Linked DNA regions of Arabidopsis thaliana. The protein of the gene in region 1 binds, or shares a complex with, the protein of each later gene. Each region holds a gene or a part of one and is shown on either strand. Other genes may lie near its edges.

What was found. The genes of interacting proteins can lie anywhere in the genome.
Region 2: PnsL1 (region 1) and Pnsl5 share a complex: the UniProt entries of both Arabidopsis thaliana proteins name them as parts of the chloroplast NDH complex.

The regions. Positions count from the first base shown.
Region 1 is NC_003071.7:16,473,739-16,479,067, reverse strand, and holds PnsL1 (PsbP-like protein 2), read right to left. Parts: upstream 2,871-5,329; 5' UTR 2,734-2,870; coding exon 2,674-2,733; intron 2,592-2,673; coding exon 2,510-2,591; intron 2,425-2,509; coding exon 2,320-2,424; intron 2,227-2,319; coding exon 2,153-2,226; intron 2,067-2,152; coding exon 1,944-2,066; intron 1,857-1,943; coding exon 1,785-1,856; intron 1,701-1,784; coding exon 1,604-1,700; intron 1,519-1,603; coding exon 1,415-1,518; 3' UTR 1,225-1,414; downstream 1-1,224. Other genes in the region: ABCB6 (P-glycoprotein 6), read left to right, coding at 1-819; RPL23AA (ribosomal protein L23AA), read right to left, coding at 3,164-3,248, 3,337-3,700, 4,004-4,019. UniProt on the Arabidopsis thaliana protein: NDH shuttles electrons from NAD(P)H:plastoquinone, via FMN and iron-sulfur (Fe-S) centers, to quinones in the photosynthetic chain and possibly in a chloroplast respiratory chain.
Region 2 is NC_003076.8:4,161,178-4,166,842, forward strand, and holds Pnsl5 (cyclophilin 20-2), read right to left. Parts: upstream 3,747-5,665; 5' UTR 3,544-3,746; coding exon 3,520-3,543; intron 3,427-3,519; coding exon 3,214-3,426; intron 3,070-3,213; coding exon 2,827-3,069; intron 2,244-2,826; coding exon 2,189-2,243; intron 1,995-2,188; coding exon 1,909-1,994; intron 1,696-1,908; coding exon 1,537-1,695; 3' UTR 1,197-1,536; downstream 1-1,196. Other genes in the region: G6PD2 (glucose-6-phosphate dehydrogenase 2), read left to right, coding at 13-463; AT5G13130 (Histidine kinase-, DNA gyrase B-, and HSP90-like ATPase family protein), read left to right, coding at 5,578-5,665. UniProt on the Arabidopsis thaliana protein: NDH shuttles electrons from NAD(P)H:plastoquinone, via FMN and iron-sulfur (Fe-S) centers, to quinones in the photosynthetic chain and possibly in a chloroplast respiratory chain.

The sequences.
Region 1 (5,329 bases):
GATCGAGTTCCTACAATCGAACCTGATGATACCTCGGCTCTTAGTCCGCCTAACGTGTATGGAAGCATTGAACTGAAAAACATCGACTTCTGCTACCCAACCCGCCCGGAAGTGTTAGTACTAAGCAACTTCAGTCTCAAAGTCAATGGCGGACAAACAGTAGCTGTGGTTGGTGTTTCTGGTTCTGGAAAGAGCACAATAATATCGTTGATCGAGAGATACTACGACCCAGTTGCTGGTCAGGTCTTATTAGATGGGCGAGACTTGAAGTCATATAATTTGAGATGGTTAAGAAGCCATATGGGTCTGATTCAACAGGAACCCATAATCTTTTCCACAACGATCAGAGAAAACATTATATACGCAAGGCACAATGCAAGTGAAGCTGAGATGAAGGAAGCAGCAAGGATTGCAAATGCCCACCATTTCATCAGCAGCTTACCTCACGGATACGACACACATATCGGGATGAGAGGTGTTGAGCTTACCCAAGGACAAAAACAGAGAATCGCTATAGCTCGGGTAGTGCTGAAGAATGCTCCAATACTGTTGATTGACGAAGCGAGTTCATCTATCGAATCCGAGTCGAGCCGTGTTGTGCAGGAAGCTCTTGATACATTGATAATGGGGAACAAAACAACAATTCTGATAGCGCATAGAGTAGCGATGATGAGACATGTGGATAACATTGTGGTTCTCAATGGAGGCAAAATAGTAGAGGAAGGTACGCATGATTGTTTAGCGGGTAAAAACGGATTGTATGTCCGTTTAATGCAACCACATTTTGGCAAGAATCTACGGCGACATCAACTGATCTAAAAGAGATTGGACTCATGTGCCTAATTGAGATTAGTTCAGTCACATACCAACCATCATGTGATATGCCACGAGATAACGTTATTGGATGTAGTTACAGGACATGCATCTGATCAAAGGCTTATCGGGTCCGGGATGACAGCAGATGAGCAGAAGTTGTACAACCACGGTTAGTTTCTGTAAGCAACTTAGGAGTTTGTAGACGTTAGATTCCCTTATTCTTTCAGGAGGCTAAGCAATGAAGTAGGACTGTGTTATTTATTCATTGATTGGTCTCTTAAGGTATATCGATTTGTTTATTGAAACTGAAGATTAGAGGCAATTTTATTTGCTGAGGTTTGCTTTTTTGTTGTTGTGAGTGATTTAGGTGGAGAAGTGTGTAATGGCTAGGAAGAAATATGTCTGTTTTGTAAATACATTATTTCCACTTTATTTGCAAGTTTGATTGAATTACTGAACCAACTCAGAATCTAACTCACAATGCCAAAACCATCGTTGGAGTTATAGAGAATATGAAAATATCAAATTGTTATCTACAGACAGTTTTGTAACCACAGAGAGAGAAAGATATATAGGAGTAAGATGTTTCTTGTGTTTGTCAAATCTGAAGGATCTTCAAAGAGTCGGCCACAACTTGAAGCTGCTTTTTCACTTTCCTCCACCTTCTCTCATTTGCTCCAACTATGAGAGTGTAGTATCTGTCTGCAACATCAAATCAGTCATAACACTTGTTTATTCCTCAATTTCTTCTCTCATCTATCTCATAATTCTTATAATCTGTGCTTACTGTTTCCAACTGCCACTGTTGCAAAGGAAGTGGTTGCATAGATAGGAGTTCTTAGTCCATACTCAAACGTGTAATAGTTCTTTCCATCTTCCACCCTCTGCATTTTCATCTCTTATTGTTTATAAAGATCCAATCTCTCAACAACTTTGATGATTCTTTAAGATGTTAACAATCATCTGACCTCTTTCATATCGTAGATGGTAGCTACTTGGTTTGGTGCTGCAAACTTATGCTTCACTAGATCATAAACCACCTGATGAACATATATAAGAATGATGAACCAATGTGAATTCTCTAATGACATAGATGGTAGAGGGAAAGTAAGGTGTGTAATACATACCTCTTCCATAGGACCTACTTCATGGATGTCGTTTTTCTCCGTTGGTATGAACCTGACCCGCACATTCTGCAGTTGCAAGTATCTATCTTTGAAGGCTGAATCATGTGCCCTGAAGTCAAATTCCTACGTAGTAAGGGCAGAACAGAGATATTCTCAATTCATTTATGTTTCATTCTTTCAACAAAAATGGAAACAAAGCCATTACCCACCCTCCAGTCTGATGGGTAATAGTAAGAATACCCGTCTTCTCGATCCACAAAAGGCGAGTAGCTTTTTGGTATCTCTGCAAACATGATATGAATCAACATATTAGGCTTTTGGTCCCAAAAGAATGAAGAAGAGAGGCAAAAACAAAACCCTTAGTTTTGCAGATTACCTTCAGCAAGAAGCAAAGTTGCTGGAATTGAAGTTGCCACTAAAGTTCCTACTCCCACAAGAGCTTGCCTTCTCTTCCAATTGTTTCCGCTGCCTTTTTGGTAAGCTATTGAATTTTAATAAAAATCAATCCACACAAGTCAATGTATTACGTATGAGAAGGAAAATGTCACAAGAGTTTAGTTTCTTACTACTCTCCGAGGAGTCGGCCTTACCACCGGATGAAAGTAAACAACAAGCTTTGAGTGATGGATTTGGACAGAGAATTTCTGTCTGGTAAGAAATATGAATCAATGAACAATAATGATTTTTAGTTTTCAGAAATGGAGACTGGAATCAGAACAGTGTTATTAACCTTGTGGGAGATTGTTGGTGAGAAACCACCACAGCGGATTGAGAGTGAGGAGACTGCCATAGTGGCTACAATTCACAAGACTTTTGATGATCAATGAACATTGCCTTAGTGTTCTATGTGGATAAGAAATTTCTGATTTTCGTCATTTCTCGGACTTCTCCATTCATCAACATGTGGATAAAAGGATAATGAAAGATGCAAACAATATGTGGTGATAGATCGATTTATGATCATTTACTGGTTAGAGAAGATACTGCATTTGTATGTTTACAGTTTATAAGTTAGTGAGTTTTAAAAAGAGAATCTTGATAAGTCAAAAACATAGAACTTGAATTCAACAATAAACTGCAACATGAATGTATTGTAAAACGTTTTTGCTCCAAAATACTACAATTACCAGATGATAGTAATAATAAATATCTTAAAAGCAAAACTGAGACTACAAGAGACAAAACCACAATAGTCTTTATAACTGCAGAGATAGATAGACTTAGATGATGCCGATCTTGTTAGCAACATCCAAAGCATCATAGTCTGGTGTAAGCCTCACGTAAGCCTTCTTGGTTCCATCAGGCCTGTAACAAAACCAAACCATAGTGTCAAATATATTGAACATAATCAATCTCACAACAAGGCTTCATAGAAAAATACTCTTTAAAGTACCTGATGAGTGTGTTCACTTTCTTGGTCTGGATGTCATACATCTTCTTAACAGCATCCTTAATCTTCTTCTTGTCAGCACGAATGTCAACAATGAAAACAAGAGTGTTGTTGTCTTCAATCTTCTTCATCGCAGATTCAGTGGTGAGTGGGTACTTAAGGATTTGGTAGTGATCCAACTTGTTCCTTGGAGTAGCGCTGATTTTTGGGTACTTACCAGTTCTAGGCTTGGTAAGAGTCTTTGGCCTGTGGAAGGTGACCTTGGTCCTAATCTTTTTGTCCTTCTTCTTGAAGGCTTGACCAGACTTCACAGCCTTTGCCGCCTTCAAGGCCTTGGCCTTAGGATCAGCCTTCTTGGTAGTATCAACTGCAAATTACATACAACAGAGAGTTTAAGCATCATATAATACTTTGATACAAATCTGACTTCAATACATGAATACTCAGAAACACGTCTACAGACAAAATTCATTTGGATACTACATTAATCTCACTTAGTTGAAGCTAATCAGGAAGATATTGAAACTAATCACCTAACGAAACATGATTAGAAAACATTAATCGAGACCAGATACTAGCGGGTTCAGCAAAACTAAAGTCTAGTAGAAGAAGATCCAAATCCATCATGTTCCAGTGAAGATTCAAGTGGTTATCAATGAAAAGATCGTACCTTTAGCCGGAGACATGGCTTGAAATGATTCTTCACACACGAAATCTGTGAAATTTTTAGATAGAAACCCAGAAAGCGAAGCTCAGTAATGAATCTGAAGAAAGAAATGTAGGACGATTTCGAGAGATAGTTTGCAAAATCGAGACACGAACCTGGAGAGGTGAAGCCGCTGATTCTCAAAACCCTAACTTACGCCGCAACAAGTTTTATAGTGGAAACTGAAACCCTAAGATACTTAGTTGGGTCTATAATGGGCCTTTTTACCACAATCATCATCTAACCCAGTAAGCTTTGGATTGAATAAATGGGCCTTTTACCATAATCGTCCATCGGACGCATAAGCCATAAGTGACGAAAAATTTCATTAGAAAAAAATGAAAATGAGCATAAGATCACTGATTCTTTTGGTTGCACAAAAAGATACTTAAAAGATAATATGGGCTTGCAACATTGTAAATAGGCCTTTGACCAAAATCATCATGTAAAACCCAAATAGAAAGTGAGCGTAAATTTAAGTTACTAGTTTATTTTTAACGTAATGGTATTGGCGTAAGAAACATACAAACGTGTCTTTTGTCTTACCATACAAACGTGTCTTTTGGCGTAAGAAACATATTTGCTTCTTCTCTTGTGTCTATGACCTTTCTTTGGTTTTGCCATTCCAAAGTAAATTATTACAGAATAAAATTTAGTCAGCTTTGGTTTGACTTGAAAGCATACAATCTTTGACCAAACCAAAGCAAATCGAACAATGGCTAACCAAAAAACAAACCAATTGGTCACGAAACTAAACAATAATCATTTACTTACGCTTGACAATAAGAGAACAACAAGCCTGCTCTACATGTCTAATATTTTACGATAATTGTGAAGAAGAAAGCTTTAGCTGAACTGGCTTCTACCATTTTTCAAAGGTTCTTCTATATCTTGGGTCGGTTGTATCTAATACAGTTTTTATACTACATAATAGAGTTTGAGAGGGCACATATGTGACTCATAACCATGTCATGTCACGGGGTCGTTTAATTGCAGTTGAATCTCAACTGTACACGTGTGTATGATGACTCCTCCAATCACGTGCGAGATCCCAAATCCATTGAGAGAACGCCACGTGGATAATTAGCAGAGACGTCTCTTCTAAAGGCTGGTCCAAGTATCTCTGTGGAGGAATGTCTTACTACCACAACAGTCGTAGTAGCTAGCCTCAATCTTTCTTAATTACCGATTTTACCCTCGCCGTCTCTTCAAATTTCCCATTTCCTTACCACTCTCTCTCTCTCTCAAAAAAAAAAAAAAAAAAATACAAAGTCTCTCTCCGCCGCCGGA
Region 2 (5,665 bases), on another chromosome or scaffold:
GTAAAATTACAGTGCAGAGATAAGGGTGCAGTTCAGGCATGTTCCGGGGAATTTGTATAACCGGAATACTGGTTCTGATCTTGATCAAGCTACAAATGAGCTTGTGATCCGTGTCCAACCAGATGAAGCAATCTATTTGAAAATCAACAACAAGGTCCCTGGTTTAGGAATGAGATTAGATCGCAGTAACTTGAATCTTCTATACTCAGCAAGGTATTCAAAGGAGATACCAGATGCATATGAGAGGCTTCTGTTAGATGCAATAGAAGGAGAAAGAAGATTGTTCATAAGAAGTGACGAGCTTGATGCAGCTTGGTCGCTATTCACTCCATTGCTTAAAGAGATTGAAGAGAAGAAGAGAATCCCTGAGTACTATCCTTATGGTAGCCGTGGTCCTGTTGGTGCTCATTATCTAGCTGCTAAACACAAGGTGCAATGGGGTGACGTCAGTATTGACCAGTAAAACATTTTCTTGTTTGTATTCTCTTTTTTTTACATTGATAATAGATTTATCTAGGATTCAAGCTTTTTCTACGCCTCTTTTTACAGCTTTAATTTGTGCAATTTGGTTATGTACCATTTAATAAATAAATAAACCAAAGGGGTTTCTCTTATTCTCTACAAGGAAAATGTCTTCTTTTTATGGTGTGCTCTTCTAGTATTCAGAGATATCTTGTATCTAGAAAAGGTTGACCAAAAAGAAAGAACACTAAAATACAAACATGTGATAGGTACAAGTAATTATATTGTTCATTAATCTGAAAGCAGACTTTATATACAAATTGATCGGATACATGTTCAACAAGTCCGCTGTAGCACACATGCCAATTTCACAACAGAATTTGAAATCCGGGCTCAAACCTCGGCAGCGTAATACTTTTTGGTTCAATTAGTTAGTTTTCAATAAGATATCAGACTTTAAATACAAATCACTCATATACAAAACCAAAAAGTCCGCTGTAGCACACAGGCCAATTTCACTACTCAATATGAAATCCGGGATCAAACCCCGGCAGCGGAATACTTATTATTTTAATTAGTATTGTTTTCAATAAGATATCAGACTTTAAAAACAAATCCCTCGTATATAAATCAAACAAGTCCGCTGTAGCACACAGGCCAATTTCACTACTCAAAATGAAATCCGGGATCAAATCCGGGCAGCGGAATATTTTTTGTTTCAATTGTTGTTCTTACTTTTTTATGAAGAGATCGGACTTTAAATACAAATTGCTCGTATACCAAACCAACAAATCCGCTGTATTACACAGACCAATTTCACAACTGCATCGACTACTCTTGAATCTTCAGATTTTGTATCTTAGTAATGCAACTGAACCGCTATAACACAATGGTTAATTTCGAAACAAACCAATGAAATGAAATATGAGTTCAACACCCGGCAGCGGAATACTATTTCTTTCTTAAATTTTTGGAAGAAGGGGATACAAATCCATTACACAAAAGAAAGGGTTGTAAAATGCAAAAACAAGCTCCATCTCATGTCTACAAGATTTTGGTTAAATGATCTTACTTTTAAGCTTCAGACATTGGAAGTTGACCACAGTCTGCTATCACCACTTTCTTTCTGGGACGGTCTCCTCTGTCTGTCTCTTGTTCCTCTATCAGCTTCACCACTTCCATTCCTTCTATTACTTGCCCGAACACCACATGTCTTCCGTCCAACCATGACGTCTGTCCACATCGTTATCGCATATTAATTTGATATACACTAAATTTCCCAACAAAGCTTGGATGGTTCTTCGTTTCCAATTTCAAAACTCTACTCTTTAGGTTATATTATTGGATTCTATATACTGTAATACCTGTGTTCTTTATTGTTGATGCTCGCTTGCCTACGTATAACTTCTAATTTAACAATAGGCCTTAACCAGAGGGAGATTTTACCTTAATAGTGCAGATAAAGAACTGACTTCCATTTGTATTAGGGCCAGCATTTGCCATACTTAGAACTCCTGGTCCGACATGGGATACTGCAGCGTATAGCACATTATTACTTTCATGAATTTTATAAAACTGAAGGTTTGGTATATATTATACTCAGCTCAGCTAAAAAGAGAATGCAGAAATGTTTAGTTAAAATGCATTACCACTGATAAATATGAATGCTAAAGCACAGCTGGGGAGAATGAAGAAGAAGGAAACAAGTGAAAAAGGATAGACTTACACTTGAAATTCTCATCCTTGAATGTACGGCCATATACACTTTTACCTCCAGTTCCCTGCTCAACAATTAGACTTCTGTATCATTATTATGGAATTCTCCTAGCAGTTACTAGAAGAATCTTCGGTAACTGAGATGGGCAGAAACAGAAAATAACAATATATTTCTACCGAGCTACAGCTAGTTGCATACCCACGAACCAGTATATAAGTTCCCTACAGCCCAGGTATTATCTATATAGAAAAGAACAAAAGTCTAAGATTAACAGGGGTTGTTCTTCTAAAGCCACTGATCTACAAATCAGAGAGCCAGCTATCAGAAAGATTGTCTGTAGAAAGCTCTCCAAAGGTCAGGCTTTTTCCTATTAATGTACCCAAACATGTGCTTTCAAGAGCGACTCTAAATCCGTACAAGTAAGAACTTAAGCATCCTTCCTTATCGAGAAAGATTTGACTTATACTATGTACCACATCCAAGAAATTAATAAACATCCTGCCATCCTGATATGAGACAGCTTACTTTACTTTGTGATTTGGCAGAAAATAAGATGAACCAAAGTAAATCAAAAGAAACATAATATGGACCGCAAGTCAGCTAACAAGAAACTGGTGCTGCCAAGGAATTCAGCCAGAAAAACTCACATTGCCCTTCTCAAAGTCTCCTCCCTGAATCATGAAATCTCTGATGACACGATGGAATGTAGAACCCTTGTAGCCAAATCCCTTTTCACCTGTGCATAGAGCACGAAAGTTCTCCACAGTTTGGGGAACATCATCACCATACAATCCAATAACAATCCTCCCAGCTAACTTCCCCACTGGATTGCCAACACTTATATCGAAATACACCTTGTGTGTTATTTTCGATTGCGGTTCAGTAACCACCTGGAATACAAAATCCACATCATATTATGATTCCATAGCTTTTAGTAAATCTAATGGAAAAAAAAAACTAAGAGTAAGCTGAATAAAACAACCAATTCCATCAAATGACATCAGTGACTAACAAGATATGAGAGAATCCCTAACCTCAGCATTGGATTGAACAGAGAAACAGCGGTGGTTTCTTTTGGTATAAGACGTGTGAAGGAGGAGCGATGAGGCGGAGAAGGGAGTTGAAGACGAGAACGAGATTGAATCGAAGGAAGATTTGGTGCGCAATCGGAAAGAGGTAGATGTGAAAGCGGAGGTATTGATCGGAGAAAGTCTTCGTGGAGGAGCTGAGAGCGACTTCGGATTTGACTATGATGATAACCGAAAATTAGAGCAGGAGAAGCAGAAGAAGCGGAAAGGTAAAACAAAATCAAAAGTACAAAAGGGAAAAATTAAACGCACCAGAGTCATCGACAAGGTCGCCATTGGAGCTCAAAACTCTTGCTCGCGTTTGTTGGCAAAAATGGTAGGTGAAGGTGAAGGTGACGATGAGCGAGTGATAGCACGAAAGAGTCTGAGAAATACATTCCATGGTTATTTACAGTTATGCCCCTGCCGGTTACGTGGCTTCGCATCGAGTCAATTTTGAGTGGGTCAGGTCAGCCGATCCTATGAAGCATATTTACCTGTGCAAAGTGCAAACAAAGAAAAACTCATCGTATCAAAATGACACTAATCTCATAAACTAAAATACAAACCTACTATAAGAAAATAGTGTGTTCACTATTTCTGATATTTATTTAATATAAGAAAATAAAACCATAAATACAAATCAAAAATATTTTTTCAAAACAAAATATGCATCGCGCGGAAATTAACCGAGTCATATAAAAAAATTATAAATTAATACAGTTATAAGATTATATGTTGTCATTCATTACGGAAATAGAAGGTAGAGTTGATCTTGGGCTCAAGCAAGTAAAAGGCATCAACAATATTTATATAGTAGTAAACGACATCAATTTTTTTGTACCATGTATAATTTAACGGTTAAACGAAATATAGTTCAGTGTTAATTCCGTATAACATGAATTGGTAACATGCTCAATTCTCAAGACTGATTATTTGCAATTTTTTTAAAAAAATTGGGCTTTAAGCTTTTTAAAAAAAATCTAACTTCATGTTTTAATCCATATTATTGATACAAATTTTCTCTTAAAATTAGTATTTATATGGTAAAATTTTGAAAACATATTGGAAATTTCTTAGAAGTTACAAAAGTTTAGTGACAATATGACGAAATTTTTCGATGAACAGTTCTAAAAAACAACAAAATTGTGTAAATCTAAAGAATATTTATTTCAAAAAGGGAGAAAAAGAGGGAATGTCATTTGTTACTAAACAAAATGTAATAAAGTTATAGTAGAGAGGCTTTAGAGCAAGTTAAAACTAATTAAACCTTGTATCTGAGACCAACTCCAACGGCAGCCTCTAAGGGGCTTTTGAGGGTTGGTCCCTTGAATTATATAGCCCAAAATAAATTAGAAATCAGTTTAATTGAGAGGGTTGTTTCTCTCTTACGGTATTTTTCAAACAACAAAGGGACCCTACATGGCAAACTTCTATTGGTGGAGAGGGAAGAGAAGGAAAAATATGACCCAATTTTTTTCTTTTCATTTCGGTTGAATTGTTTTCATTTCGTTATTTCCATTTACGATGGCGATGTCAATGTTGATGAAAGATGATATGTGTCGAGCTCCTCATCATAGGGCGTAATAATCAAATCAAAGACTAAATTGAAAAAAATCGTTTGGTGCATCTAAATTCATACTACCAGAATCAACCATCTCTTCACAAGTTATTTTAACTACTCTACAGATATGTCTTCAAATCTCGGTAATTTTATGGTCTCTCGTGCTCGAGTTCGTGATCGGGCTATGCATCAACAATTGAAAGGTGATTTGGTTGAGCATATATAACACAAATTTGGTGGGAATCAAACTAACTACTAATTGTTATTCCGATTCTCAATATTCATTTCTTGTAGGTTTAAAATTTTAGTATTTGTATTAATTATTAAATTTTATAAAATAGAATATTTATAATTTTCATTTTAATAATATTTTTTACTATAAGAAACTCACTAAAAATTTCTACCATTAAACCAAGAAAAATTAAGAGACCAACAAAATCTCTTAAATTCAAATCTCAAATTTTAAAATTAAAAAAATTGGAAAAAACCTATTAAAAGTTTAACCATTAGGGTTGCTCTAATAACACAGATGGGCCTGTGAGTTACGAAATTGGGGCCGGGAAGCTGGACGGTTTTATTTGTAAGTCGCGCCACTCACTTTTCTATAAAGACGCTCCCACTACTTGAAGAGTCTGTGTGTCGTGCGTGTCTCACGTCTCTCTCTCCTCTCTCCCACTTCAAGCTGCTTCAAAACCCTAGAAGCTTCTACTGCAACCACGGATTCTTCTCAAATCAAGTCCAATAAACCACTGTTAGTGATCGGAGACATGGCCGAATCTGGCAGTACTAACCCTAAATCCCCATCCGTTGTTCCCGATTCGACTCTCGGTGGACTGAAGAGAGATTTAAGAAACT